Sus scrofa: one gene and its partners. The protein of the gene in region 1 purifies or fractionates together with the protein of each later gene. This does not show direct contact. Links are inferred from orthologs where the notes say so. Each region holds a gene or a part of one and is shown in the gene's direction. Other genes may lie near its edges.

Region 1 (3,500 bases):
TTAATTATCCTTCTTGACAGAAATAATTTCTATGTCTCTGTCAATGTATGTTTTCAGTTTTGGAAAATTGTCAGCATCAACTCTTCAGATACATTCATTTTGGTTAATTCTTTCAGATTTATCTTTCAATTTACAAATTCTCTTTTTATTCTCCAATTCTAGTACTTGTTCTTTTGTAGGTATTTGTCCCCAAATTAGATTATCCTCTCCTTCTTCCTCTCTCTCTATTTTTTGCAGTTGAATCTGCTTGTCCTTCAATTTAATTCAAGAATTTCCTTCTTTCTCTTTCTACTCTGTTATATCTTGTTTACTGTCACCTCTCTGAGTGCAGTTTACTGTTTGGCTGTTTATCTCTTTGGAATTTGACTCTTTTTCTTGTGATCCAAGCACTTCTTTAAAATATAATTCTTATTGTCTACTCTTAGAAGGAGTTTACTTTAGATAAATGTTTTATCTGTGTTACTACTATTAAGTTACTTTTTAATTAATTCAATGAATATTTAGGTAGTAACTGAAATATTATTTGTTAATTAAGAAGCAACTTAATATTTCTTAATGCATCTTAATACATTTTCAGTTGTGGTATGATTATTGTTAACTTGTGTCATCTCAGGGTCTCATTATATTTCTTATTTCTTCATCTGTTAATGTGCCTCAAGCGTAATAGGTGATAACCAAGCAAAGTAGGTAATAACCATTTGTGGAAGAATTGGCATACCTTTTAGTTAGCATGGAGTTGGTATTATATATTTAGGATCATAGACTTTTGTTCTTTATATGATTTTTATGCCAATGTATTTCAGATTTGTTGTTGCTATCAATATATATATATATGTATGATTTATTCTATTCTAATGTATATGTCAAACTTAGTACATATTAATGGCCCCTTAACCTAATAATATTAAGTACCTATTCTGTACAGTCAAGTGCTGTTCCTCTTATTCAAAAGGTATAGGGCTGCAATATAAGGAGATGAAAAAGTAATTAGTTTTCTCTTGGTAATTGTTTTCTAACAATTACTAAAAATTAAAATTCTCAAAATCCTAAGTTTTAGAATGTCATAATGGATTCTATCTTCATTTAATTTCGAGAATTGAAAGAAGCTTCTTATATTATTCTTATAAAATTGGGCTGTTTTTCCTTTAAAATAAGAATTGGAAAATATGTCTAATCACTATTGAGTTTTTAACAATTTGTAATTATTTTAGTGTGAACTTTTCAAATTACCAAAAATATGCAAGCATTTGGATATTCTGTGATGAAAGACAGTATGAATTATTCTAAGTTACAAGTGTCTTTTCTTGTTATCACCTTAGACAAAGAAACAGCCCTGGTATAACAGCACATTAGCATCAAGACGAAAACGACTCACTGCTCATTTTGAAGACTTAGAGCAATGTTACTTTTCTACAAGGATGTCTCGTATCTCAGGTACACATTCAGGACTTCTTAAGATATCTCAATTCCTATTTCCATATCCATATCTAGCCTCTTATGCTGGATTTATGGAAAGTTCTATTCGTAAAGTAAAAGTGTGCATTTTTGACATTGTGGAAGTTTTTAGACATCTTGGAGAACATTGCTTTTCCATAACTCTTTATTCTTTATTTGGGAATTTTTAATCTTTATATGGCAAGCTGAGTAAACTTAAAAAACAAATCAGCCATGAAGAGGTAGCTAGCAAAAATAAGTTCAATTCAGTTGCCTCCTATTATTCAACATATGTTAAATTCTAAGTATTGTCCTCTGTGCCAAGAATAAAAAAAGAGGAAAGAACTGGTATTGTCAAGGAGTATTGTAAATTTAGTGGGGGAAAGCAACAGGTAAATAAATCTATGTGATATTACATGTTATATAAGTGTGCAGAGGGCCCTAAGGGAATAGAGAAGAATATCTGCTATTATAACAGGGAGTGAAAAAACCAGGCCAAGCTGTAGACAGTGAAATGTAAGAGAGTGATTATGATTACTGTAGGGATTTCAGAGAAGTTGTATTTAGTCAGGGCTAGTATAACCTTAAAAAAGATAATTGGAAGCATACTCAAAGTAGAGGAAATAACTTACAAAAAGATTTGTACGTGATAGCGTATAATATTTTTGTTGCTACAGAAAAGTAGTATATTTCTGTGCCCTTTTGTTCTCTAATCTTTAGCCTTTCTTGGTGTCTTTGCTCACAAAGGAGGTAGGGCCATTTATACCCATCCTCCAGGGTTTTTTTTTTTTTTTTTTTTTTTTTTTTGATGGACTGTAGATGATGCATATAAAATACAATGCTTAGTATAATTTAGATTCTCAATTAATTGATGTCATTCATAGTAGACCTGCTTAAAATGAGGATGACCAAAGGAAAAAGATGTCTGATATTTTTTATTAATTGTTAAAAATTTGGCCTTGGTTTTCTCTTTAATAGGCATGTTTGTATCATGATCTTCACATTGCTTGTCACTTTTGGACAAATTTGCCTCAGGATTGGAGGTGGAGGAAAAAACATATAGATTTGCATAGTATTTTTCCTGTGAAGACTAGGAAGAAGCCAAGCTGTCTCTAAGTGTGTTTGAAATTAATAGTCAGTGGCTTTCCTACAAATAGAAAGCTTCTTTGTATTGTCTGAGAATTAAACCCCTTCTTAAACTTCTCTAATGGTCTGTAGTCTATGGTAGGAAGCTGTTAAATTGAAAGTGGTCTGAGACCTACATTCTGACCGGCAGAAAGTCCACAGTAGCCCTTTCAGATGTTGTTTGTCAGTATGATGTTGAGATACAACCACAGGCGAATGGCAGACATTTTTTTAAAAAAGAGAACGAGGTGGGAGAGAGGTTGGAGTAGGCTATTGATTAATAATTTTTAAATAATGAGCATAATTAATGCTCTGGGAGAGTAAAGATTAAGTGTGAACCAATTTAATTTATTTTGGGGATATAGCTTTATAGGAAGGTAAAGTTAAAACCAGGAGGAAGATTAGATTTTTATTTTTGTAGACAAGGCTGTATTGTACTTAAAACATGTTATCTTTAGTTTTTAGTCATCTCAAACTTAATCAGATATGCACATTGACTACACTAATCATATTACTGAAGTTCCCCCTAGTGTCCTTGACTATAAGGATAAAATTTAAATTTTTACGTAATGGGGTACCTAAGAGTTTGTCCTTTTGTATGTATGTTTTCAAATGAGAATCCAGTCCCCATCCCCAACTTTAAGTTTTAGCTATTAAAATGAGAGACGGAGACTAATAAATTAATGCCTTGATCTCTTAATTGTAATTGAAAAAGAAGCTAAATTATAAAGCATTAGAAGAGAGAAAAGAGACAGTGAAAACGGTTTTACAAACTAATCTGTAATTAGAATAGGAGAGGTGATAGGCCAGCATGTGATGTATGGGTATTGATCATAAACCAACCAACCAAACAAAATCCTACCTTTTCACAACCAGATAAATAAAAGTTAATCCCTATACTTTCAGATACTGAAATAACTATTTTTAGTGTTTTTATAATT
Region 2 (3,500 bases), about 35 Mb from region 1:
AGTTATCAAGCCATTTGTAATTAAAACCAATAGCAACAGGTTAGACAAAAAAAGTTCCATTAGCCTACAGCAAATGCCTACTTCTCGGCAGCCGCAAACAAAACAAAGCAGGTTATTAAATGCTCCCAGGTATGCAGGCTCTTTGTTTTACTTTTTTCCTCAAAATTCTTTGAACAAAGAAAAAAAGGGAAACTTGGATTTAGTATCTTTAGCTTTGTTTCTGACATGGCTTATTTTTACTTTTATGGCAGTTTCACCATTTCACCTCTGTGAACTTAATTTCCTTTTTATAAAGGACTAAAGTGAATCAATTTATGCCAGATCCCTCTGTCTGCCATACACTGTGCTAGAGACTTCCATTACAGTCTTGCAATAAGTTTTTAAGGAGCCATTCCTGCCTCCCTTTCAAAAAAAAGGAGAACTGAGGGCATTTTAAGAAACATGTCCAAATTCATAAAAACTAAGTATCGGCTGTTTTTAAGGCTAAGGATATTCAGAGTATTTGGATTCTCTAAATTGGTTCCTCTTGCAGAGTTAAAAAAAAAAAAGAAAATCAAGGCCAGAAAACGTTCTAAATCTGTTTCCATAACAGAAGTGCCCATTGGTAGTTGTTTCTTTTCTTTCCAAACATACACAGATAGTTTATAAGGAACTCACCATCCCCCGCATCACACAGCAACTAGCAGAGGAGTTGATTTTCACTTTCTAAAATTACTGAACTCTACATATACACAAAAAATTGCTACAAAGAACTGTATTTATCCTGCCCCATCCTCCCTCACCCCCCTGAGGTTTGGAGAAGCTCAGCATTGTCTGCTACTGCCAGCAGGGGTGGGGCAATATTTGTGTCACTCAGTTATTTCTAATTTCCTAGAGAAGCATTACTCTTCAAAATTTAAGTTTGGGGCATGTCATTTCCTACAAATTACACTATTTCTCCTTTTATTTCAGGCAGCTGTCATATTTCTTTTTCTTATTTCCTCCCTATGCCTTGTGTATTCTAAATTCACTTTTTTACACCTCTTGCTTCAATTTGACACTTTATACACATCCTTAACTTCTGTCTAATGCATCTTGCTTTCATTTTTTAAAGTGATGTACCCAAGATAATGCTACCCTCCTGATCCATCTTTCATTTAAATAAGGCTATGTATCTTTTTTTTAGCTGAGAATATACAGTGGAAATTTTTTAAAAAGTAAAGAAAAAGAACAGTTCACCCTGTGAATCAGTGAATCGACTAGCCTTATTAGGAACACAATACATTTTTCTTTTATGGTTGGGAAGTTTGGTTTTTCTGCAGTTTTAGAAATGTAATGTTAAGAGGGAGACACTACACTTTAAAGACCTGATTATTTTATCAGGTAATTTAGATATTACCCTTTAAAGCAGAGGGAAAGACATTTCAAAGTGAGATGCCTACATGAAATCATTGGTGTTTTCCCCCAGATAACAATGTAAGTTTACATTTGTATTGAAACAAGCAAACTGATAAGCTTTCTAGCTATATCTGGAATAAATGTAGTTATTACTTGAGCTCAACATTTTGCATTTGCCTGGATTGAACCATTTTACCCTACAAATAGAGGATTTTTTTCCCCCTATGTATCTCTGTTAGTGCTTAGTTACTTTGTTTTGTTAGCCATCCTTTCTGGTGTATTAAACTATGTTTTTGTTCATTTCTTTCCCTGCCCTTCCCCTAGGGATAGTGAATGTGAGGGTTTTTTTTTTTTTTTTTGAAGTATAATTGACATACAACCTTATAGTAGTTTCAGATGCACAACATAATGATTGGATATTTGTATCTATTGCAAAATGCTCACAACACTAAGTCTGGTTCCCAGCCAGCACCTACATAAGGATGGCTTTTCTGTTACATGTTTTCTGCAGGTGGCTGGAGAGAGATATGTCTACAAATTTGTGTGTGACCCCGAAGCCCTCTTCTCCATGGCCTTTCCAGATAATCAGCGCCCGCTGCTGAAGACGGACATGGAGCGTCATATCAATGAAGAGGACACGGTGCCTCTGTCTCACTTTGACGAGAGCATGGCCTACATGCCAGAAGGGGGCTGCTGCAACCCCCATCCCTACAACGAAGGCTACGTGTATTGACAGAAGTGACAGTCAGGGGCCTCCTCGCGCTTTTCCTCTCTTGCAAGATGCAGAGAATCTCTGAATTCTCTTCAATCTTTGTTTGATTTTTGTTGTTTGTATTTTATTTTTAAATAATAATACACAAAAAGGGGCTTTTCCTGTTGCATTATTCTATGGTCTGCCATGGACTGTGCACTTTATTTGAGGGTGGGTGGGAGTGATCTAAACATTTATTCTGTGTAACAGGAAGATAATGGGTGAATGGGAGGGGGGATTTGGGGATTACTTTTTACTTAGGCTTGGGATGGGGTCCTACAGGTTTTAAAGTATGATGAAGCTATATCATGTTTATTTGATTTCATAACAACATAGAAAATGTTCATTTCCTCTGGGTATCTATGGTACAGTTAATTCACATTGTGTAAATATCCACTTGGAGACTATTTGCCTTGGGCATTTTCCCCTGTCTTTTCTGAGTCTCCGCAAGGTATACAAATAAAAAAAAAAAAAAAAAAAAAGAAAAAAAAAAGAAAGAAAACAAAAAACAAACAAAAAAACTACTGTAAAAGGCAGTTTAATTGTTAGAAATGACTGTTTTTGAACCTCTTGTAAAAAGGTATTTAGAGATTGCATTTGCTGTTTTTTTGTTTTGTTTTGCTTTATGTATGACTCACAGAGGATAACCATAAAATGGGGTAATTCTCTCTGAAGTTGAAATAATTAACATGACTGTAAATGAGGGGCACAGTTTTGGACTCTGGCTCCCAACTGAGTCACAGGCCAGTAGCAGTACATGTATCTGGTGCCACCTTGCTGTTTAGATACAAATCATACTGTCGTTTAAATATTTTGAAGCCATTTCAATTAAGTAATGATATTTTTCCTGGTCCTTTGAGATTGTCATTTAAATGTTAAATCTGGGATCACAATGAAGTAAAAAATCTCTGTCTCCTTTCACTTCCTTCAGTACATAAAGACATTATTTAATCAATAAGAATTAACTGTACTAAATCACATAATATGCTGTTCTAGATACAGCAAGCACTCTTTAAGAAAAATATCCAATACACTAAATAGGTACTATAGTAATTTTTAGACATGGTACCCATTGATATGCATTTAAATCTTTTACTGCTGTGTTATGTTGATAACATATATAAATATTAGATAATGCTAATGCTTCTGCTGCTGTCTTTTCTGTAATACTCTCTTTCACGCTGAAATTACTATGACCATTTATAAGCAATGCAGTTAACTACAGGTAGCATTTCAGGACAAAATAGATGACTCGAACCATTTATTGCTTAAAAAGTAGCTTATGCCATGCTATGCTATAAGCAGCTTTTATACACATTGACAAAATGAAGAGTGAGCTTCAGTTTGCTAAGGGGAACTGTGGAAACTTTTG
Region 3 (4,001 bases), on another chromosome or scaffold:
TCAGCAGTTAACGAACCTGACTGGCATCCATGAGGGCGCAGGTTCCATCCCTGACCTCGATCAGTGGGTTGAGGATCCGGCATTGCCCTGAGCTGTGGTGTAGGTCATAGACACGGCTCGGATCCAGTGTTGCTGTGGCCCTGGCATAGGCTGGCAGCTACAGCTCCGATTGGACCCCTAGCCTGGGAATCTCCATATGCCGCCGGTGCCGTGAAAAAGAGAGAAAAGACAAATAAATAAATAGATAAATAAATACTGAGAATGTGACCGGAATCTGAATAGGAAATGTGTGCATTTCTAGCCATGGACTCAAGTATCTCCTGCTAAAAATGGAAACTCTGGGGGGGAAGGGTGACGGTTTTGACCATAGTTGGAAGTCAGATAGCCTGGAGTTTCAACCCTGAATTTCCCACTCACACGTCCTATGACTCGGCAAGTTATTTACCCAAAGGGCCCATTCCCTCATGTTTAATGTGAGGACAATTATCCTGAGAATGAGCCCAGGGAAGCTCTTTCAAAGGCTGGTTCCTACTAAGACACCGCTCAACTCTAGGGGGCGCCACTTCCTCGGAGGCGGTAGGAACAGGGCTTCCCGGAGCAGAGGGGCGCTCTGTGACCCAGAAAAGGGCCCACCTTGTACGTCTATCATGTCTTTTAGTGTCTTTTCAGGACAGAAGAGTCAGAAGTCCACGAAGAGGTCCAAGAATTGGGCCAGAAATAGTCCCTTATGACCCAAGCCCTGTGGCCGCTCGGTGGCACCAGCACTGCTCCAGTCCTGCCAGGACAGGTTTTGGTGTTAAAGTCTCCGCACCAGCGGAAGAAACCAAAGAAAGACTCTCCTTCTGAGCTCCCGGGACACACACAGGGCTCGAGTCCTCGGGGTCCCCGGCCCACCACGGCCCCCCGAACCGCAGGCAAGGGACAGAGCCCAGTGACAGCGGGCGCCGAGCGAGGCCGGGCTTGGAAGGACTGGCTCCGCCCCCTGCTCTTCTCCTCCCCCCGCCTCCACTCCGCTCCCCTCCCCTCGGCTTCCCCCCTCCCCTGCTCCCGCCCTCTCGCGACTTTGCTCCCTTCTCCACCCCCACCCCTCCCCTCCCGATCTCCTCCCCTCTCCCCTCCCCTCTCGCCTTTCCCCTCCCCCGCCCCCCTCCTCCCCTCCCCGCGGTCGCCTCCCCTCCCTCCTCCGTCCTCCCCCGGCTCCTGAAGAGCGCGCAGCGAAGGGGACCGGCCAGTTACTTCCTCCAGCGGCGGCGCGGAGCGCGGTATCGCCCCAGCCCTGAGCTCCCGGAGCCCGCCGCCCGCCGCTCCCTGCCGGCTCAGGCCTGCCGAGCGCCCTCCCCGCGTCCCGGCCCCGCCGCCCGCGCCCTCCCCGGCGCGCACCGAGGAGTCCGGGCCCCGAGTCGCCGGCCGCCCTGCCCGAAGCGGCGCGGTAAGAGCAGGGTCGGGCCGGGTGGGCGGCCAGGGTCCGGCAGGTCCGGCGGGGAGCGCCCTCCGGGCCCCGGTTCCTCTGCCGAGGGATCCAGAAACGGCGTGGAGGACGTGGGTGGCGCGGAGAGCCGGATCCCAGGGCGCAGCCGGGGTCCCGGAGGGGTGGCGGCTATTCCTAGGATCCAGGGGTCGCGCTTCTGAGATCCGATCCGCTCAGCTCGTGGTATGGATGGCCCAGTGGCTTTGGGGGCGGCAAGTGGGGCGCGGAGTGGGCCCGGCGATGACGCGCGGAGCCGGCTGCGAACTTGGGCCGCGGTTCTGGGGTCGCCGAGCCGGCTGGGGCGGGCGGGGCGCGCCGACTTGTTTCACTTGCTTTTGTCTTAAAAGGAAACGCGGGCGTGGTGGGGGGCCCTTGCCAGTGGGCGCCTGGGAGACCTGATATCGCGAAGGGGCTGGGGGACGCCGGAGAGGGTGTCGGAGGGGCCCCGGCGCGCCCGGGTTTGTGGGTGACTTACTGGAGGGCGCCGGGCCCGGGCAGATCGGGGTCTAGGGGCGCATGAAACACCTTGGAAGCTACGGATCCCCGAAAACAGGCGGATCCCAACCCCCCGGTCACCTGCTCCGCCACGTCCAGGGCCCGGCCGGGGCGGCGGGCGAGGGAGGCGCCGGGAGGGTCCTGGCGCTCGAGCGAGACCCCCGTGGGCGCCCCAGGTCCTCTATATCTCGGGCCCTCGGTCCTGCTAGGCGAACCTGGGGAGCCAGTCGGAAGTGGGGATGTAGGTGCGCCAAGCTGCCTTTCCCGGTTCTTACAGCATTTTAGATGAAGAGGTAACAGCGATTGTGCGTGTGTGTTTTTTAAAGCACAAGAGATTTTTTTATATTATCCTGTATTCAATTATAGGGTATCCTAAAATAGTAGTTGACGTGCGACTTATTTAGAAAGTAAAGAAGTGAGCCAGTCCCCCCTTTGGATTGAGAGGTAATTTATTTTAATTTACCACTGAGAGATGATGTTTGTTCCGCACAGTGGAAGCGCCTGTGCGCCCTGTGCCTGCCCACACCACCGCCGATCAGAGAGAGAAATCTCCCAGTTAAGGTTTATTAAAATTCTGAATAATATCACAGTACAATAAATGTTAGCGCTCTGGGTCCTGCAGGAAAATAGCTGAACACTCATTTCGGGAATTAGTCATTCCTGACTCTATAAATTGATAACCTTCAAAGGAAAAAGCAAATCAATCTTCGAAAGTGCGTTTTGAGGTTTTCTTTTTCTTTTCTTTTCTCCTCAAATTTACCGAAATACAAACCCGTGTTCTAATCTCGCAGAAGGAATCACTTGTCCCCCGAGGGTACCGTTGGCCGGCAAGTTTTGCTTGTTTAAAAATGTTATCCTTCTCAGCCCTTTCGTGGCTGCCATTTCCCGTTTGTGTTGTTGTAGTTCAAAGGCAACAATCAGGAGGGCACCCCCCCCCCAAAAGACCTAAATGTGAAATTGACTTAGGATGTGGAGAAACTTGGCCTGTCTGCCACCTTGACTGGCCTCGTGGAGTCAAAGACGGGAACTTAAATTTGATTAGTTATGTGTCTGCCAGAAACCATTGGTAGCGCGCTTTGATTCTACATGGTTTTTACAAAACAAATTAAAAGCTGGACAACAAAAGAATTCTATTCTGTAGCTAGTAATTACAGCTCTCTGTGTGGGAGGGGTAGACTGCCTTTCCTCCTGGTGTTTGTACACAAAAACCAGGCGAGGCTTAGTCCATTGCCCTCCACGTCCATTCTCTGCGAAGCTGAAGTGTGGGATAAAACTGGACGAAGAAGATGGATAACTGTCCACATCCTTTCATTCGGCTCCTGTTTGAAGCTTGTGAATGTCATCAGCAGGTGACAGGACGTAGTCGACCCAGATAAATGGCAGAAAGTTCCATGAACCTTAAGGAGCATTTCAGGTAGTAAAGTCTCACGAGCAGGAACCTTGTCTAATGAGACTTGGGTGCCATCGCTGCTTTTTTTTTTTTTTGATGAGCTGGGAGAAGGGCCCCGGCCGCATCCCTCGGGTTAATTGGGCTCCTGGAGGAGCGAAGGAGGGAAGGCCATCACCGGCCTGGGACTGGGTCTGCGCAGTGCCCCTTCGATGCCCCTGCTGTCGCTGCGTCCTCCTGCGCCAGGCACCTGAGGTCTCTGGATCTTTGTTGCCTCGCGGTGAGAGGTTACATCTACCTCTCAGGGCTCAGGCCTTTCAGCCAGCTGGGCTGGTGGGATCGTCCAGCTCAGGCTGAGCCCTTAGCCAGGGCAGCGATCATCCGTAGTGAGTACTGATCTTAAGGGCCTGTGGAGGACACCGTCCGATCCATCAAGGGGAGATTCTAAGCAAACCTGATCCCTTTTGATCCAGGACCATCCCTCCTCCCAACCCCCACCCTCACCCCCCACTCTTATTTATTGTCTAAGCTTCCAGCCTCCACTGGCAACCACGAAAATTCCCCTGCGTTCTGAGGGCTGTAACAGCTGCCCCCAGCGCCTCGGGCCTCCCCGGTGGCTGTCACTGTGCTGTCCTCCTCCCATGGGGCTTG
Region 4 (4,219 bases), on another chromosome or scaffold:
CAATAAATTAGATGACAGAACTCTTGATATGGAATCATTCATTTAACAAAACTTGGTCTTAGAAAAACTTGGTAGTGTTCCTACTAAAACTTTAAGGTCTCTCACAAGTCTTCTCTCTCTACTCCGGTTAAAGCTGCGGCGTTTTCACAGATTTGTTTTCCTGTTTAAAATTAAGACAAGGAAACAAACCCTACTTCTGGTTTAACAGTGGAGTCAAGACCATCCATTACTCTTCAGCTTTCTTTTAAGAGAAGATACGAGATTTCAAATAAGCCAATACAAGATTTAAGAGTGATCTAGCAGTCATACCTCTGCAAGATTAGAGATGAAAAAAAAGTGGAGAGGTGGTCTACAAATGGGAAGGTGATAGAAAGCACAGGTGCTTTGGCTGGAAAGGTGCTATGGCCCAAGGAGGCTAGGACCTCAGGCCGGGCTCAGAAGTGGGTCAGGATCTGAGAAAGACCACTAAGAGTGAGGTCTTGGGTTTCCGCAGCAGGAGGCGGGACGCCCACCCTCGCCCTTTCCCCGGAAGAACGCGACGAGGACCCGCGGGCACTGGAGCTGCGCGGCGGCGGGGAAGGATAGGCTGTGCGCGGGCTGCAGGTCGCGGCCGAGGCGGAGGAAACAGCCGCCGCCCCTGCGGAGGGAGTGAGGCCGGGGGCTTCCCGAGGAAGGGCGATGAGAGCGAGTCCTTTCGAACATTTCCACCCGGCTCTCTCGCGTCGGCCCGGCCCCGCCCGGCCCCGCCCCAGCAGCTCCGGCAACCGCCTCCTCCCAGCCGACGCGGGGTAGAGTGGGGGGCGGGGGGAACCAGCACCAGCGCCTTTAAGAGGCGTGGCCACACGCTCCGCCCCCACTTGCCCCTCGCGCGCCAGTGAGGGGTGGGGTGCGGGAGGAGGTGTCCGGACGGGAGGGGGAGTGAGACGTGCGCTGGCGCGCAGGCGCAGTAACGAGACGACAGATCGTGTGTTTCCAAAATGGCGGCAGCGATGGATGTGGATACCCCGAGCGGCACCAACAGCGGCGCGGGCAAGAAGCGCTTTGAAGTGAAAAAGGTTGGGTCTCGCCAGCGCCTTCCTCAGGGAAACTAGAGAGGCGCGGATCTGGCTGGCAGGCCCAGGATGACCAAGGCGCGGAGGAAAGGGCTTCATTTCAGGGCGTTCCGGGGACCGGGTACCACCAAAGGAAGCCGGGAGGCGGGTCTTAGGGTTGATCGGCGTGACTGCGGCCCACTGTCAGTGCCAGTGTTGGTTTCGCTCGGAGGCTGAGGGGCCAATCACGGAGGTGCTTATTGAGATGCGCGGGGTTGCGACTTGGATGCAGGAGCCAAGCGCCTGAGCTGTCACTGGAGTGGTGGAGGGGTGGGGAAGGCGAGGGTGGGGCGGGTGGAAGGGGGAGTCGAGGGCTGCGGTGGGTGGAGGATGGGACAGTACGGCCCAAGCCGGGAACCTGAGGTCCTACCGCATTGGAGGCTTCTGAGGACCGGGCTAGTGATCTCCGTGCCCCGCCCCTATCCAAAGCTTGGGGTCCCTCTGAGGAACCTCGACCTGGTCCTCGCCTAATCGAGGCCTCCATTAGCCCTCTCTGGCCCTCGCCCCTGCCGAGTTAGTTTCTCGAGTGTAACTCTTGGCTCTTCTGAAAGGTCTGTTGATTTGTTACACAGCCGCCCCAGTCCTGCGGTCATATCCAGAATCCCCATCCGAAAAAAAAAAAAAAAGGCATGGTGGAATTTGTTAAAAAGAAAACGGAGCCCAAGTATTGTTTCAAGTAGGGAGGGTTGAATACAAGTTGCGAACAACCTGGTAAAGTGGGAAAGAAGAAATGTGGAACGTGTCTTTTTGCATGAAATGCCTTACAGTGATTTGCCAGCAGTTTGGGAGAAAAGTGCCCATCCCACATTAGATAAAACAAATCTGTCCAAAATGAAGATTCCAAATAGGGAAGATTTTATCCCTGGAACATCTAGCTAAACCCTGACGGTATTCCCCCGTCTAATGCGTTTTGGCGTTTCATTGTGGGCACTGCATGCTCAGTTACAGCCAGCAGCCATATTGAAGAATAGAAGTAAGATTTTTTTTTTCTTCTTTCCTCCAAGTTGAAGCTGTCGGTGAAAAGTGTTGAAGAAGTTGCTAGACATTGAAAATTAGGTTTGAAGGAGATGAAGGTTTGGGACGTGTCACCAAATTAGGGGGTGAAAGGGAGTTTGGGAATATTTATTGCAGAAGCCAGAGGTTGAATTATTGAAATACCACTTTTAGATAAACTCTTAAGGAAATTATCCTAGCTAAATATAACAGTCTGAGCATATAAAAGTTGAGAACATCAGCTTATTTGATGATAGGAACTATACGAAATTCCAGTGAATTTTAGAGTTTGTTGTGAAATAATCTTATAAGATTTAAGCGATGACCTTGTTCTATGGACTCACACTGGGTAGTTATCCAGCTTATCCTACGATTACCCGTTTTATGATCCAATCAACATCTTAGTTCATTCTCTTCCTAGCCTTCACCTGTCCATTCCTGCGTAAAAGCTGCCTTGAAGAGCAGGTATTTATGCAGAAATTGAGCTCTTTTGCAACTGCCAGGAGAACCTGCACAGTAATTCAAGTTTGTGATTATTAGACCTAAAACCGACACTTATAAATTATTCCTGATTTATTTATATTGATATGGCTGACTAAATTAAACTGTAGGAAAAAATAAAAGATGATATTCATTTGTGTTTATATAGTTGACAGTTTAGAGAATGGGTAAGCATACGTGTAGCCTACTGATGCTCTCTGATATAATTTTAAAAAAAAGAGTCATGTAACATCCAGAAACTCTTGTTTGGTGGTCTTTGTGGCCAAAAAGGTGATAACTACAGGATGAAATCCTGGAGTGTGTGTGTGTATGTGTATGTGTGTGTGTGTGCACGCGTGTGCGCTTGTGTTAAAAGAGTAGCATGCATTGTTCCCCCTTTTTCTCTTTGCAGTGGAATGCAGTAGCCCTCTGGGCCTGGGATATTGTGGTTGATAACTGTGCCATCTGCAGGAACCACATTATGGATCTTTGTAAGTAATTGGAGGAGGATGGGAGGAAGTTTGAGAAGGTTACAGAGATTGCAGCTATCCTGATGTGACCAATTTTCTTCTTCACGAGGAAAGATAAAGTATATTCTTAGCACTTGGGGACTTCTGCATTTGGTGTGTTGGTATGTTTGAAATAAAGTAATTTTTTTAGGGTGTCCTGAAGGCATATCCATCTCTCAGAATAAGGCTATTCAATCTAAAGATAAGGCCACATTTAGAATGAATTGCGGGCACAGAGGTACTGTTGATTATTTCTTCTCCATTTCCCATCTTGCACCCAGACTTAAAGGCAAAAATAGTGAAAGAAAGAAAATTAACTTTGAGCTAAAATATCCTAGCAGAGCAAATGTTTGCTGGGGAAGATTTATGAAGAGGTCTAAGGAGTATGCATTTTCAGTGTTAGCCCCAAATGTAGTTAACATCACTGCCAACATCTAAATAGGTAGTTAATTGCTCTAAGAAAATTTCATTTAAATTTCCATATAGTCCATTACACATAGTGGTCAGCACACAGTAGGTTTAATTATAGCTGTTAATGGACTTAGTATTTCTGTAGTACTAGGGGCAAGAATTATTGATCACACCAGGAGCAGTTGAGGTTACTTTTTATTCAGTTACTAAAATGGTTTGTTACTGAGATCAGAAAGAGGACAAAGAAGAGTTCCCGTCGTGGCTTAGTGGTCAACAAACCCGACTAGTATCCATGAGGACGGGGGTTTGATCTCTGCCCTTGATCAATGGGTTAAAGATTTGGCACTGCCGTGAGCTGTGGTGTAGGTCACAGAAGTGTCTCAGATCTGGTGTGGCTGTGGCTATGGCGTGCGCTGGCAGCTACAGCTCTGGTTCGACCCCTAGCCTGGGAACTTACATATGCCACAGGTATGACTCTAAACACACACACACACACACACACACACACACACACACACACGAAAGAAATAGGGCAAAGAAATTTCAACGTTCTAGAATTGAAATTTTAACTTATTTTGAAAACCACATACGTGCCTCTTCAGCTTTATCTCGAGCCACTCTCCTTACTCTGGTAGTACCCTGGCTTTCCTTCTATTCTGGAACTATCCGTGGTCTTGTATAGAGCTCTTACATATCTTGTTCCCCCTACTGGAATATTCACCGCCTCTTCTCCCC
Region 5 (3,500 bases), on another chromosome or scaffold:
ATGGCTTCGATCTTCAGCTTCCACGTCGTCTTCCCTTCCCAGGCACGTATGTTCCCCGGAAGGAGGTGGAGGTGGTGCAGATCATTCAGGCCTCCGTCATCAAGCAGAACCAGGCCCTGCGGCTGAAGGCCCGCAAGGAATGCTGGGACCGGGACGGCAAGGAGAGGGTGACAGGTGGGGTTTTGGAGGGGCGCCGATGTGGGTGGGGCAGGCCGTGTGCCCCGACTGCAGGGGAAGTGGGGAAGGTTGGGGAAGCTGCTCGCAGCCTGGAGGAAGTGCTTCCTGGTGTCTCTAATAAGCTGTTGGGGGCTGCCCCCTGCTGCTTCCCCCACCCACCGCCCTCACCCGCCTGTTGCTCCACCCTGGCCCTGATTCTGTGACCACAATCATGTTGACATGGCTTTGCCTTCCTCCTACCCTTGGCTGGGAGCTGGGAGCGGCAGCCGTGTCTCTTCCCACATCAACAGAGCAGGTGTCCACGTACAGGAGCAACGGTGCTTGACAAATGTGATGTATTAACCAAAGTCTTGACAAAGGCCGTGCTTACTCTGCGCCGGGTGTGGTTCAAATGTTTTGCAAATGGTGGTAACTTCCTTATGCTTCCAACCACCCTGAGGCCCCACGATTCCCATCTGCCATATGGCATAGCCACAGCTTGGGCGCTTGGAAGGGCCTTTTTTTTTTTTTTTTTTTAGGTTGGTTTTCTTCTGCCCTCAAAAAAGAAGGAATAGGAGCTCCCGTTGTGGCTCATCAGATTAAGAACCTGACTAGTATCCATGAGGATGTGGGTTTGATCCCTGGCCTTGCTCAGTGGGTTAAGGAGCTGGCGTTGCCCATGGCTGCAACATAGGCCAGCAGCTGCAGTTCCAGTTCAAACCCTAGCCTGGGAACCTCCCTATGCCAGGGGCTCAGTCCTAAAAAGACCAAAAAAAAAAAAATCCTGCCAGGCCTTTGAGCCTGGGAGCAATGACATTTGAAAATGGCCTGTGAGGTCCTGTGGGTCCCCTGTTGTCTAGGCTGCGGGAGGGGGCAGCTGGGGAGCAGGCTGGGTGACCTTTGACCCTTGCCTCTCCGCCCTGGCCCAGGAGAAGAATGGCTGGTCCGCTCCGTGGGTGCCTATCTCCCAGCAGTGTTTGAGGAGGTTCTGGATGTGGTGAATGCTGTGATCCTCACAGAAAAGGTTTGTGCTCTGGGGGTGGGGGGCACCTCGGGGTAGGAGCTTCTCAGGGTGGCAGAGAACAGTGGCAGGTGATGTGAAAAATAGGAGTTAATCCCAGGTCGCCTGACAGTGTTTAGGGAGTCCTCCTGGGTCGGTAGACACTGTCACTCAGACCTGGAGCATTCAGCGGCCAGTGGGGTCCCCAGATCCCCCGAGGAATTGGAAGTGGGTTTCCCCAACCTCCACCCCCACCCCACCAACCGGCCGCGATCCTGCTCTACAGACAGCCCTGCACCTCCGGGCCCGGCAGAACTTCCGAGACTTGCGGGGAGTGGTGCGCCGCACGGGGGAGGAGTGGCTGGTGACTGTGCAGGACACGGAGGCCCACGTGCCAGATGTCTATGAGGAGGTGGTAGGCGTCGTGGCCATCACCACCCTAGGCCCCCACAACTACTGCGTGATCCTCGACCCCGTCGGACCAGATGGCAAGAACCAGCTGGGGCAAAAGCGTGTGGTCAAGGTGAGTGCCAGCGCCCCGGGTTGGGCCTAGGCCCCGGGCCTGCTCCCCGCACCCCCCTCCCGCCCCCAGTCTGCTTTGGAGAACCACCAAGCTTGTTTTGGCTCCCTCTGGACACACTTGGCTCTGTCGCTTGAGACGCCGTGTCACTGATGCTCCGGCAGTTCCCAACCTCGGGTTCCGCACGGCCTCTCCCGGGAGCGCCTCCCTCCAAGCCCAGAACCCGTCTCACCTCCCTCTGTTCCAGAAGCTTAGTCATCCTGAGTAAAACCAGTCTCTCGGCTTCCCCTTTCCCCATCCTCCCCGTTCTCCTGTCTCTGGACTGTGTGTGGGACAGCGGAGGGGGGCAGAGCGTCCCTGGGACGACTGTACATAGTTAAGGCTTCGCGAGCCACGTGGTTTCTGTGGCAACCACTCAGCTTGGCTGTTGTACCATGAAAGCAGCGTAGACAGGCTTGTAAACAAAACAGTGCTGCTGCGTTCCCATAACATGGTATGTGCAAAAACAGGCAGTGGAAGAAGTCCCTTCGTGGTTCAGTGGGTTAAGGGTCTGGCGTTGCCCCAGCTGTAGCACAGGCCGCAGCTGTGTTGTGGGTTCAGTCCCTGGCCCGGGAACTTCCACATGGCCATGGGTGCAGGCCCCCCAACCCCCCGCAAAAAACAAACAAAAAAGGAAAACAGGAGGTGGAAAACAATAGAAACCACCCAAATGTCAATTGATGAATGGATTAAAAATAGGGAGTTCCCGTCGCGGCGCAGTGGTTAACGAATCCGACTAGGAACCACGAGGTTGCGGGTTCGGTCCCTGCCCTTGCTCAGTGGGTTAACGATCCGGCGTTGCCATGAGCTGTGGTGTAGGTTGCAGACTCGGCTCGGATCCTGTGTTGCTGTGGCTCTGGCGTAGGCCAGTGGCTACAGCTCCAATTCGACCCCTAGCCTGGGAACCTCCATATGCCGCGGGAGCGGCCCAAAGAAATAGGAAAAAGACAAAAAAAAAAAAAAAAAAAAAAGGTATATCCATACAGTGGATATCAATCAGAAGAATGATAATCTTTCTGGGGTTAAGGGTGCCCATGTTCTTAAAATAAGGCAAACTTGTAAAAAAAATTAAAAAATGAAGTTCTTGGAGTTCCCATCATGGCTCACTGGTTAACGAACCCGACTAGCATCCATGAGGACTGGGGTTTGATCCCTGGCCTCACTCAGTGGGTTAAGGATCCAGCGTTGCCGTGAGCTGTGGTGTAGGTTGCAGACGCAGCTCGGATCTGGTGTTGCTGCGGCCCTGGCGTAGGCTGGTGGCTACAACTCCGATTGGACCCCTGGCCTGGGATCCTCCATACGCTGTGAGTGCGGCCCTAAAAAGACAAAAAAAAAAAAAAAAAGAAAGAAAACAAGTTCTGAGATGTGCTACAAGATGGGGTAAGCTTGAAAGCATTGTGCTGGGGCAGTAGAAGCCGGACATAAAAGACCACATACTGCCTGATGCCATTTATATGAAATGCCCAGAATAGGTCAATCCATTAAGACACAAAATAGATTACTGGGCGGGATAGGCAGTAACTGCGACTGGGTGTAGGGTTTCTTTTCAGGATGATGATCTGGGATTTGGGGGTAGTGATTTTGGGCAACTCTGCATATACCAGAGCAACTGGATTACAGACTTGCTTTTTATTGTTTTTTTGTCTTTTTAGGGCCGCCCCCGCGGCATATGGAGGTTCTCAGGCTAGGGGTTGAATCGGAGCTACAGCTGCCAGCCTACACCACAGCCACAGCAACTGGATTACTGGATTTGTTTTTTACACATACATATAAAATCAGGCAGCA
Region 6 (3,500 bases), on another chromosome or scaffold:
GCCAGGAGCAGAAGAGGTTGTGGGTGTGATTCCTTTGCTCTTTGGACGAGGTTGGCGCGGCTGCGTACAGACACCGAGGTTTGCTCACCCTCTGCCTCCCTCCCCAGGACGCATCGGATAACCATCACCAACTTCTGCCTCGGGAAGCATCTTGTGAGCGAGGGGGACCTGCTGAAGGACCAGAGGGGGAGCCCGGCCTACATCAGTCCAGACGTGCTCAGCGGTATGTTCAAGGTGCCAGGCAGAGGCCCCGAGCCTCACGCAGCCAGGTTCTGCAGCCATTCATACAAGCAGGATCTGAATCAGACTGTGTCTGTGGGAGGGCCTGGGCCAGGTGCTGGGGTTTCAGTGGTGGCCCAAACCAGTGCTGTCCCTCCAGGTACAAAATCTGGGGTCTTATGCCAGAAAAAGCTGGTAATCATCACTAATTCTCTCTGAGATGAGCGCTTGGAGAGGAAGAAGCGCTTATCTCTGTGTGTGAAGAATGGGCGCTCAAAGGCCCTCCCTGGGGAAGTGGCCTCTGAGCTGAGATCCTGAGAATAAATGGGAACCTACTAGGGGCTGTGACTGGGCGGAGGTGGCACTGCACATTGGAGAAACCACCAGATGGCCCCTGAGATCGCTGCTCAGGAAGTTCAAGGGGAGGCCAGAGAGGTGGCTGGGGGTCCAACCACACGAGGCCTGATGGAGGCCTGTTTCGAGTACAAAAGGAAGCCCTTGACCAGGTCTTCACTGGGGTTACCGTGAAGAGGTTTGCATGTCAAAGACCTCACTCCTTCGTTCGTTCATTCACTTCTTCATTCTGCTGGTATTTACTGAGGGCCTGCCATGTACAAGGCTCTGTTGTAGACACTTTGGATACAGCAGTAACCAGGCAGACAAACATCCTGTCTCCGTGGATGGCGAGCTGGCTTTGCGGTGGGGCTGAGGCAGATAATACACAAAAGAAGTCAATCGTGTACGTGGTACCTGCCGACCCAACCGTGAGGTGCCGGGCGCTCTACTGAGAATATACCTTGCATCATCTGTTTAAAACCACACTGCTGCCCTGTGAGGTAAAATTTCTACAGATGAGAAAAACTGAGGCTCAGAGAGATCAGACCTCTTGTTCAAAATCATAGCTAATAGTAAACCAGAAAACAGGCTCTGTCCCAGGGCTGCCTCCTGCCCAAGCCCATGCACCTGTCTCCTCAGGCTTTCTCTTCTATCTTGCTTGTCCTTTGCCATATTGGAGTCCCTCCGTCCTCTTCCCTCCAGGGACCAGGGACTCACATCTGCTCCCATCCCTCCAAGGCGAGGGTCTCGGGGCTGTCCCCAGGGCCCGTTATCCCTGGCACTCACACTTGCGCTCCCTCCTCAGAGGCAGAACCTCCTCCCCAGGTGTGTGTCTTCCCGGGGAGCAGGCTGTGTAACTTGCCCCAGGCATTTGCAGTCCTCTTGGAGGCCTTCTCCCGGCTGAGGGTTCTGCCGGGACGCCAGGCCTCTCCCGTGGCTACCACCGCAGCGGGCAGTGGTGCCACTCTCCCAGCCTGGGGGTTTTGGTTGGAGTCACTCTGGCCTCCGCTAGAAGGATCTGGGTGCCAGGGTGCACCCCAACTCCCTGAGTACCCCTCCCCACCTGGCCCAGCCCAGCCTGGATACCCTCCATGAGAGTCCTGAAAGAAACTCTGTAGGTGACAGAGCCAGGAGGCTGGACCAGGTCCCCCCTCAGCCCAGAGCCATGCAGGCCTGGGAGTGGACGGGCTACTTCTGGTTGGGCCTCCTCAGCAGCATCAGGCTGGGGTAGCTGCTGTGTGCCGTCACTCCACCTTCCTCTCTGGTTCTTCCAGGCTCGTGCCAGTCTCAGAATGAAACAGAGGAACCCCCTGCATCAGAAAGAGACCCGGGCTCTGGACTGGCCTTGCTAATTACCAGCTGTGTGACTTGGCCTCAACCCCCTCTCTGAGCCTCAGGCTCCTCATGGGTTACAAGACAAAAATAGTCCTGCCTCCCCACGTCGTCAAGACGATGAAGTGGGCTGACTTAAGTGGGTTCTGATCCTGGGTCTGCAATTTCATTGGTTCTGTGTGCCAAGCACAGACTTCAGCACCAGGTGAAGCTCTGACATGGCAGGCCTGGCCTTGCTCTCACAGTTCATAGTCTGCTTAATAACTCCGCGACCTTGGGAATGTTACCCACCTCTCTGTGCCTCTCTTTTCTCATCCAAAAAATTGGGATGATAATAGCCCCACTTCAGTAGGTCCCTGTGGGATTAAGTAAGGCCTTAACCTAGTGCCTGGCTCAATAAGCATTAGCTGGCATTGTCATTATGCAAAGGAGAGCCTGAAATTCTGTGTTTCCTCAAAAGCCAAAGCTGCAGGGAAGGTCAGCAGATGGTTGGGGCTCCCAGGAGAGCTTGTCTGCTAGGCCGTTTACCGCCCCCGGGGTCAGGGCCGATGTGGCAGGTCTTGGCTCAGGCTGACCTGGCAGCAGTGCTCGTTCCTCCTTGGCCTGCAGTTCAGGCCTCTTGACAGGAACCACCTCACCTTCTAGCTGCTGCCAGGGACACACTGCACTTTGTGGAGCCATGCAGAGCTGAGAGGACTGGCCCAGTGGACTTGTGTTGGTGACCCTGCTCGGGGAAAAAGGGACTGCCCCCGAGTTGGCCTTGGGGTCAGGACACAAGGTCACCCAGGCTTCTCTTTGGCATTAAGGTTTGGAAAGGGCTGGGGGCCTTGCAGCCCCAGGGAAACCAGGCGAGAGGCTTGGCTCCAAGACCTGCCTGTTGTCCCGGGTTGGGCAGAAGTGTACAGCCCACAGTAGTGAGCTGTGAGGCCAGTGTCAGTGTCATCCCGTCCACAGATGAAGGAGCTGGCTCGGAGAAGGAGGTCCGTGGGGCCCCCAAAGGGCAGGCCGAACCCTGTGACAACACTGGTGTGCACATGAGCACACGCCCACCCTGTTAAACCTCCTGACCTTCAGTGGTCCTCGTGAGACCTTCAGCACCAGTGCCCCCCACCCCAAAGACCTCTCCAGCCACCAGAGAAGGGATGGAGGTGAGCTGGGCACTCCCTGGCATGCGGGGAGATGACACTGAGGCGCCTGGCAGCGCCCCTTACACACCCCTAGGAGTTGCGTGGTGTTCAGGGGTCTGGGCTGCCTTGGGCCTGCTGGCATACCAGGTGACACACTGTCCCACAGTCTGGGTGGCAAGAGCTTCTGAAAGGCTTGAGTTATTCTCCTGTTTCACATTTGGAGCAGGTCAGGCAGCAGCTGACATGTGGGAGAAGCTCTGCCGTCATGGGTGTGGATGGATGGATTGTCCTAAAAATTGGAGATCAGGGCTTTTGCAGTCAGCCGTGACCTTGGACAAGTGACATCCTTGTGCCTCATTGTACTCTTTGGAAAAATAGAAAATATCTAAATCATGGAGTCATAGATTTAATGAAGAGTGATTCTTGCAGCTCTCTCACGAGTAGGTGCTCCATTAAATGCCTGCTCCTCTCTGTTTCACAGCCAAG
Region 7 (3,500 bases), on another chromosome or scaffold:
AGAAAATATTCATGATGTTGATGTCAGAGAGTGTTTTGCCTATGTTTTCTTCTAGGAGTTGGATGGTGTCCTGTCGTATATTTAAGTCTTTCAGCCATTTGGAGTTTATTTTTGTGCGTGGTGTGAGGGTGTGTTCTAGTTTCATTGCTTTGCATGCAGCTGTCCAGGTTTCCCAGCAATGCTTGCTGAATAGACTTTCTTTTTCCCATTTTATGTTCTTGCCTCCCTTGTCAAAGCTTAATTGACCATAGGTGTCAGGGTTTATTTCCGGGTTCTCTATTCTGTTCCATTGGTCTGTCTGTCTGTTTTGGTACCAGTACCACACTGTCTTGATGACTGTGGCTTTGTAGTATTTCTTGAAGTCTGGGAGAGTTATGCCTCCTGCTTGGTTTTTGTTTCTCAGGATTGCTTTGGTGATTCTGGGTCTTTTGTGGTTCCATATAAATGTTTGGATTGTTTGTTCTACTTAGGTGGTGATTTCTAAGACTCTAGATGCAAGGAATAAGTCCTTCAAGCTAAAGAGTACCTCAAAGCCCACATGTCAAACATGATGGTCTTTCTTTGGGACCCTATTTACTTTTATAATAAGTTTTATAGCTGTTTTACAAGCCTGCAGCAATTTAGAGGTGGAGGCAGCTTGCTGTTTCTAGAGGCCTAAACATAGGGCTATAGGAATTAGCACAAAATTTGTGCTGCAGGAAATAGCAAAAATTATAGTTGCTAATGAGAAAGGAATAATGTCTAGGATGAAAACAAACCTAATAATCTGGGCCCATTTAGAGAAAAGGGTATGGTATACTGCAGTGCTTCTCAGTTTTTCTTAACTGGGTACCCCTTAATGTCAATGGGAGAGGTACTCGAGAAGGTTCTTTGCCAAAAGGGTAAAATTTTGTTGGTCTGCCACTTAAAATTTGCAAATTTTGCTTCCTACTCTGTAATGTATCTGGTTTGTTTTAATAGAATACTGGTGTTTATAAGGAGTTCCTACTGTGGTGCACTGCGATTATAGATGAATGGTATAGATGAATGGTATCAGACTGGGTTTTTTATCACTATTTTTTTCTTTTCTTGACTTCAAAACAGCTTTATTTTAATTTTTTTGAGATTTTAAAGTTTGTGTACCTATGTAAAATATGATTTTGGGATTATTTTCATTGTAGATAATTTAATTCTGATAAAAAGTGGGTTAAGAATCTGACTGCAGCAGCTTGGGTTGCTGCAGAGGTGTGGGTTCGATCCCCGGCCTGGCGCAGTGAGTTATGAGATCCAGCGTTGCCATAGCTGCAGTTCAGATTTACTCCCTGGCCCAGGAACTTCCATGTGCTGTGGGTGTGGCTTTAGAAAAAAAAAAAAGAAATAGAAAAAAGTGGTGTTTAAGATTGCCGACCATCAGTATAAAATGGATACTCAAGAAGATGAGCCATGTCTTTCAGGAGCTTTGACAGCCCCAGCACAGAGTATCCCTGCCGGATACCCATTCCCCATTCTAGTAAGCATCAGTATGGTGGAAAGTACATTAGATCTGGAGCCAGAAGATTTGGGTTTGAGTTGACCCTCTGGTATTTATTAGCTCTATGAAATTAAACAAGTCACTTGATCTTGAATTTGGAGACTTTTTAAAAATGCATGTATACCTGTGAAGTGTTGAAAAACTCAGTATATCATACTCCTATTTAGGAATATATAGTGACCAGTACTTCATGGATGCTCATGATCACTAAACAATAAACTTTCTCCCCATTTTAGCTAAGTATGTAGATTCAAAGCTTCGTGCAGGAAACAAAGAAGCTACAGATGAAGAACTTGAGAAAATGTTGGATAAGATTATGATTATATTTAGATTTATCTATGGTATGTATTTTTGTTTTAGTATTTTTCTTTTAAAACAAAACACTCAACAGAGAAACTAGAGAGTATAATCAACCTGGAAGGTATATTTATTTGGGGGTTAGATATTTAAAATTCTATAATATTTCTTGCATTTAATTTATTGGGATACTCAAGGAATATTACTTAATTGCCTTGTGCTTTGACTTTTCTACTATAAAGAACCTTGAGGAGTTCCCTAGTGCCTTAGCAGGTTAAGGAATCGGCATTGTCACTGCTTTAGCTCAGGTCGCTCCTGTGGTTTGGGTTCAGTGCCTGGCCTGGGAACTTCCACATGTGTCTGTTGGGGGTGGGGGAAAAAAACCTTGAATTTTGCTACTCGTTTTAATCTCTAGAGTACTGATTCTAAAGCTAATAGTCGACTAAAGCTTTTCTAAAGAAAAGTTGATTCAGTCTTCATTCTTTACAGCAAAGAGCTTTTGAAATGTCTGGCACAAAAATCTACCTGTAATGTTTCTTGTATTTAGCAGACGTGGGTAAATGTATAAATTTAAATAACTTGGAGAAATGGTGTTATTAAGCACTCTGAAGCAATTTTCTCAGAACCTTTTGTTGAAATATTTACTATGAGAGTTGTGTTTTATTATTTAACATAGGCAAGGATGTTTTTGAGGCCTTCTATAAGAAAGATTTAGCCAAGCGCCTTTTAGTTGGAAAGAGTGCATCTGTAGATGCTGAAAAATCAATGCTGTCCAAACTTAAGCATGGTATGTTTGTCATTCTTTCTGTTCCTTTTCTTCTTTGATGTCTGAGGGGAAATGTTAAGCTTAATTTTTATTCTTTTAGTCAGTTGTCTCTTTTGTCAATCATTGTATGTTTGTATGATGAAAACATAAAGTGAGTAAGCTTATGAGGTTTCCAACCTATTTACACAAACAGAGCTGTTGTGATTTTTTAAAAAAATAAAGCATTGATCTTATTTTTAGCATTTGTATAAAAATTTCCCATTTATCTTATGCCTAAATAGTAGATAAGGTTACTACAGGATTAAAGATTTGATTCTGAATTAGTGGGGCATACACTTTGGGGTAAGGACTTCTTTATTCTTAGGAGTAGTTACAGGTCATATTTCATGCTAAAGTGAATTTTATATTTCATGTTTTTTATTCTAAATTCTTTGTTTTTACCACTTTAAAATACTGTAAATATACAAACATCTTTAATAGAATGTGGAGCTGCTTTCACCAGCAAACTTGAAGGAATGTTTAAAGACATGGAACTTTCTAAAGACATCATGATTCAATTCAAACAGGTAAAAGTGAGTTAAACTCTTAGTTAATTCCTTGAACTTAAAATGTATTTAGTTATCTCCTTGCTGTGGTTTGTACTGAAGAGGATCAATAGAAACATGTATTTGCTGTAAATACTTCATAGCAACCTAGATGATATTCACAGTAGAGGAAAAAAACACCAATGAGGAGTTCCCGTCGTGGCGCAGTGGTTTTCAAATCCAGCTAGGAACCATGAGGTTGCGGGTTCGATCCCTGGCCTTGCTCAGTGGGTTAAGGATCCGGTGTTGCTGTGAGCTGTGGTGTGGGTTGCAGACGCAGCTCGGATCCTGCATTGCTGTGGCTCTGGCGTAGGCCGGTGGCTATGGCTCCCATTGGACCCCT

What was found.
Region 2: the proteins of RFWD2 (region 1) and ETV1 purify together in Homo sapiens (affinity purification with mass spectrometry; 4 studies listed by BioGRID and IntAct, counting the BioPlex papers as one, with this or other methods). This does not show direct contact. The link is inferred for Sus scrofa from reciprocal best matches to the Homo sapiens genes COP1 and ETV1.
Region 3: the proteins of RFWD2 (region 1) and ETS2 purify together in Homo sapiens (affinity purification with western blotting; 3 studies listed by BioGRID and IntAct, with this or other methods). This does not show direct contact. The link is inferred for Sus scrofa from reciprocal best matches to the Homo sapiens genes COP1 and ETS2.
Region 4: the proteins of RFWD2 (region 1) and RBX1 purify together in Homo sapiens (affinity purification with western blotting; 3 studies listed by BioGRID, with this or other methods). This does not show direct contact. The link is inferred for Sus scrofa from reciprocal best matches to the Homo sapiens genes COP1 and RBX1.
Region 5: the proteins of RFWD2 (region 1) and MVP purify together in Homo sapiens (affinity purification with mass spectrometry; 3 studies listed by BioGRID and IntAct, with this or other methods). This does not show direct contact. The link is inferred for Sus scrofa from reciprocal best matches to the Homo sapiens genes COP1 and MVP.
Region 6: the proteins of RFWD2 (region 1) and STK40 purify together in Homo sapiens (affinity purification with mass spectrometry; 3 studies listed by BioGRID and IntAct, counting the BioPlex papers as one, with this or other methods). This does not show direct contact. The link is inferred for Sus scrofa from reciprocal best matches to the Homo sapiens genes COP1 and STK40.
Region 7: the proteins of RFWD2 (region 1) and CUL4B purify together in Homo sapiens (affinity purification with western blotting; 4 studies listed by BioGRID and IntAct, with this or other methods). This does not show direct contact. The link is inferred for Sus scrofa from reciprocal best matches to the Homo sapiens genes COP1 and CUL4B.

Annotation. Positions count from the first base shown.
Region 1 is NC_010451.4:118,016,769-118,020,268, reverse strand, and holds part of RFWD2 (E3 ubiquitin-protein ligase RFWD2), read left to right. Parts: intron 1-1,319; coding exon 1,320-1,434; intron 1,435-3,500. UniProt on the Homo sapiens protein: E3 ubiquitin-protein ligase that mediates ubiquitination and subsequent proteasomal degradation of target proteins.
Region 2 is NC_010451.4:83,324,043-83,327,542, reverse strand, and holds part of ETV1 (ETS translocation variant 1), read left to right. Parts: intron 1-1,888; coding exon 1,889-2,110; 3' UTR 2,111-3,500. UniProt on the Homo sapiens protein: Transcriptional activator that binds to DNA sequences containing the consensus pentanucleotide 5'-CGGA[AT]-3'. Required for olfactory dopaminergic neuron differentiation; may directly activate expression of tyrosine hydroxylase (TH).
Region 3 is NC_010455.5:202,463,140-202,467,140, forward strand, and holds the start of ETS2 (protein C-ets-2), read left to right. Parts: upstream 1-1,201; 5' UTR 1,202-1,429; intron 1,430-1,632; exon of another isoform or gene 1,633-1,651; intron 1,652-4,001. UniProt on the Homo sapiens protein: Transcription factor activating transcription. Binds specifically the DNA GGAA/T core motif (Ets-binding site or EBS) in gene promoters and stimulates transcription.
Region 4 is NC_010447.5:7,512,065-7,516,283, reverse strand, and holds the start of RBX1 (E3 ubiquitin-protein ligase RBX1), read left to right. Parts: upstream 1-1,419; 5' UTR 1,420-1,994; coding exon 1,995-2,064; intron 2,065-2,505; coding exon 2,506-2,549; intron 2,550-2,976; coding exon 2,977-3,055; intron 3,056-4,219. UniProt on the Homo sapiens protein: E3 ubiquitin ligase component of multiple cullin-RING-based E3 ubiquitin-protein ligase (CRLs) complexes which mediate the ubiquitination and subsequent proteasomal degradation of target proteins, including proteins involved in cell cycle progression, signal transduction, transcription and transcription-coupled nucleotide excision repair.
Region 5 is NC_010445.4:18,070,048-18,073,547, forward strand, and holds part of MVP (major vault protein), read left to right. Parts: intron 1-42; coding exon 43-174; intron 175-1,085; coding exon 1,086-1,180; intron 1,181-1,442; coding exon 1,443-1,679; intron 1,680-3,500. UniProt on the Homo sapiens protein: Required for normal vault structure. Vaults are multi-subunit structures that may act as scaffolds for proteins involved in signal transduction. Vaults may also play a role in nucleo-cytoplasmic transport.
Region 6 is NC_010448.4:92,446,364-92,449,863, reverse strand, and holds part of STK40 (serine/threonine-protein kinase 40), read left to right. Parts: intron 1-107; coding exon 108-223; intron 224-3,500. UniProt on the Homo sapiens protein: May be a negative regulator of NF-kappa-B and p53-mediated gene transcription.
Region 7 is NC_010461.5:98,682,083-98,685,582, reverse strand, and holds part of CUL4B (cullin-4B), read left to right. Parts: intron 1-1,746; coding exon 1,747-1,851; intron 1,852-2,483; coding exon 2,484-2,594; intron 2,595-3,053; coding exon 3,054-3,145; intron 3,146-3,500.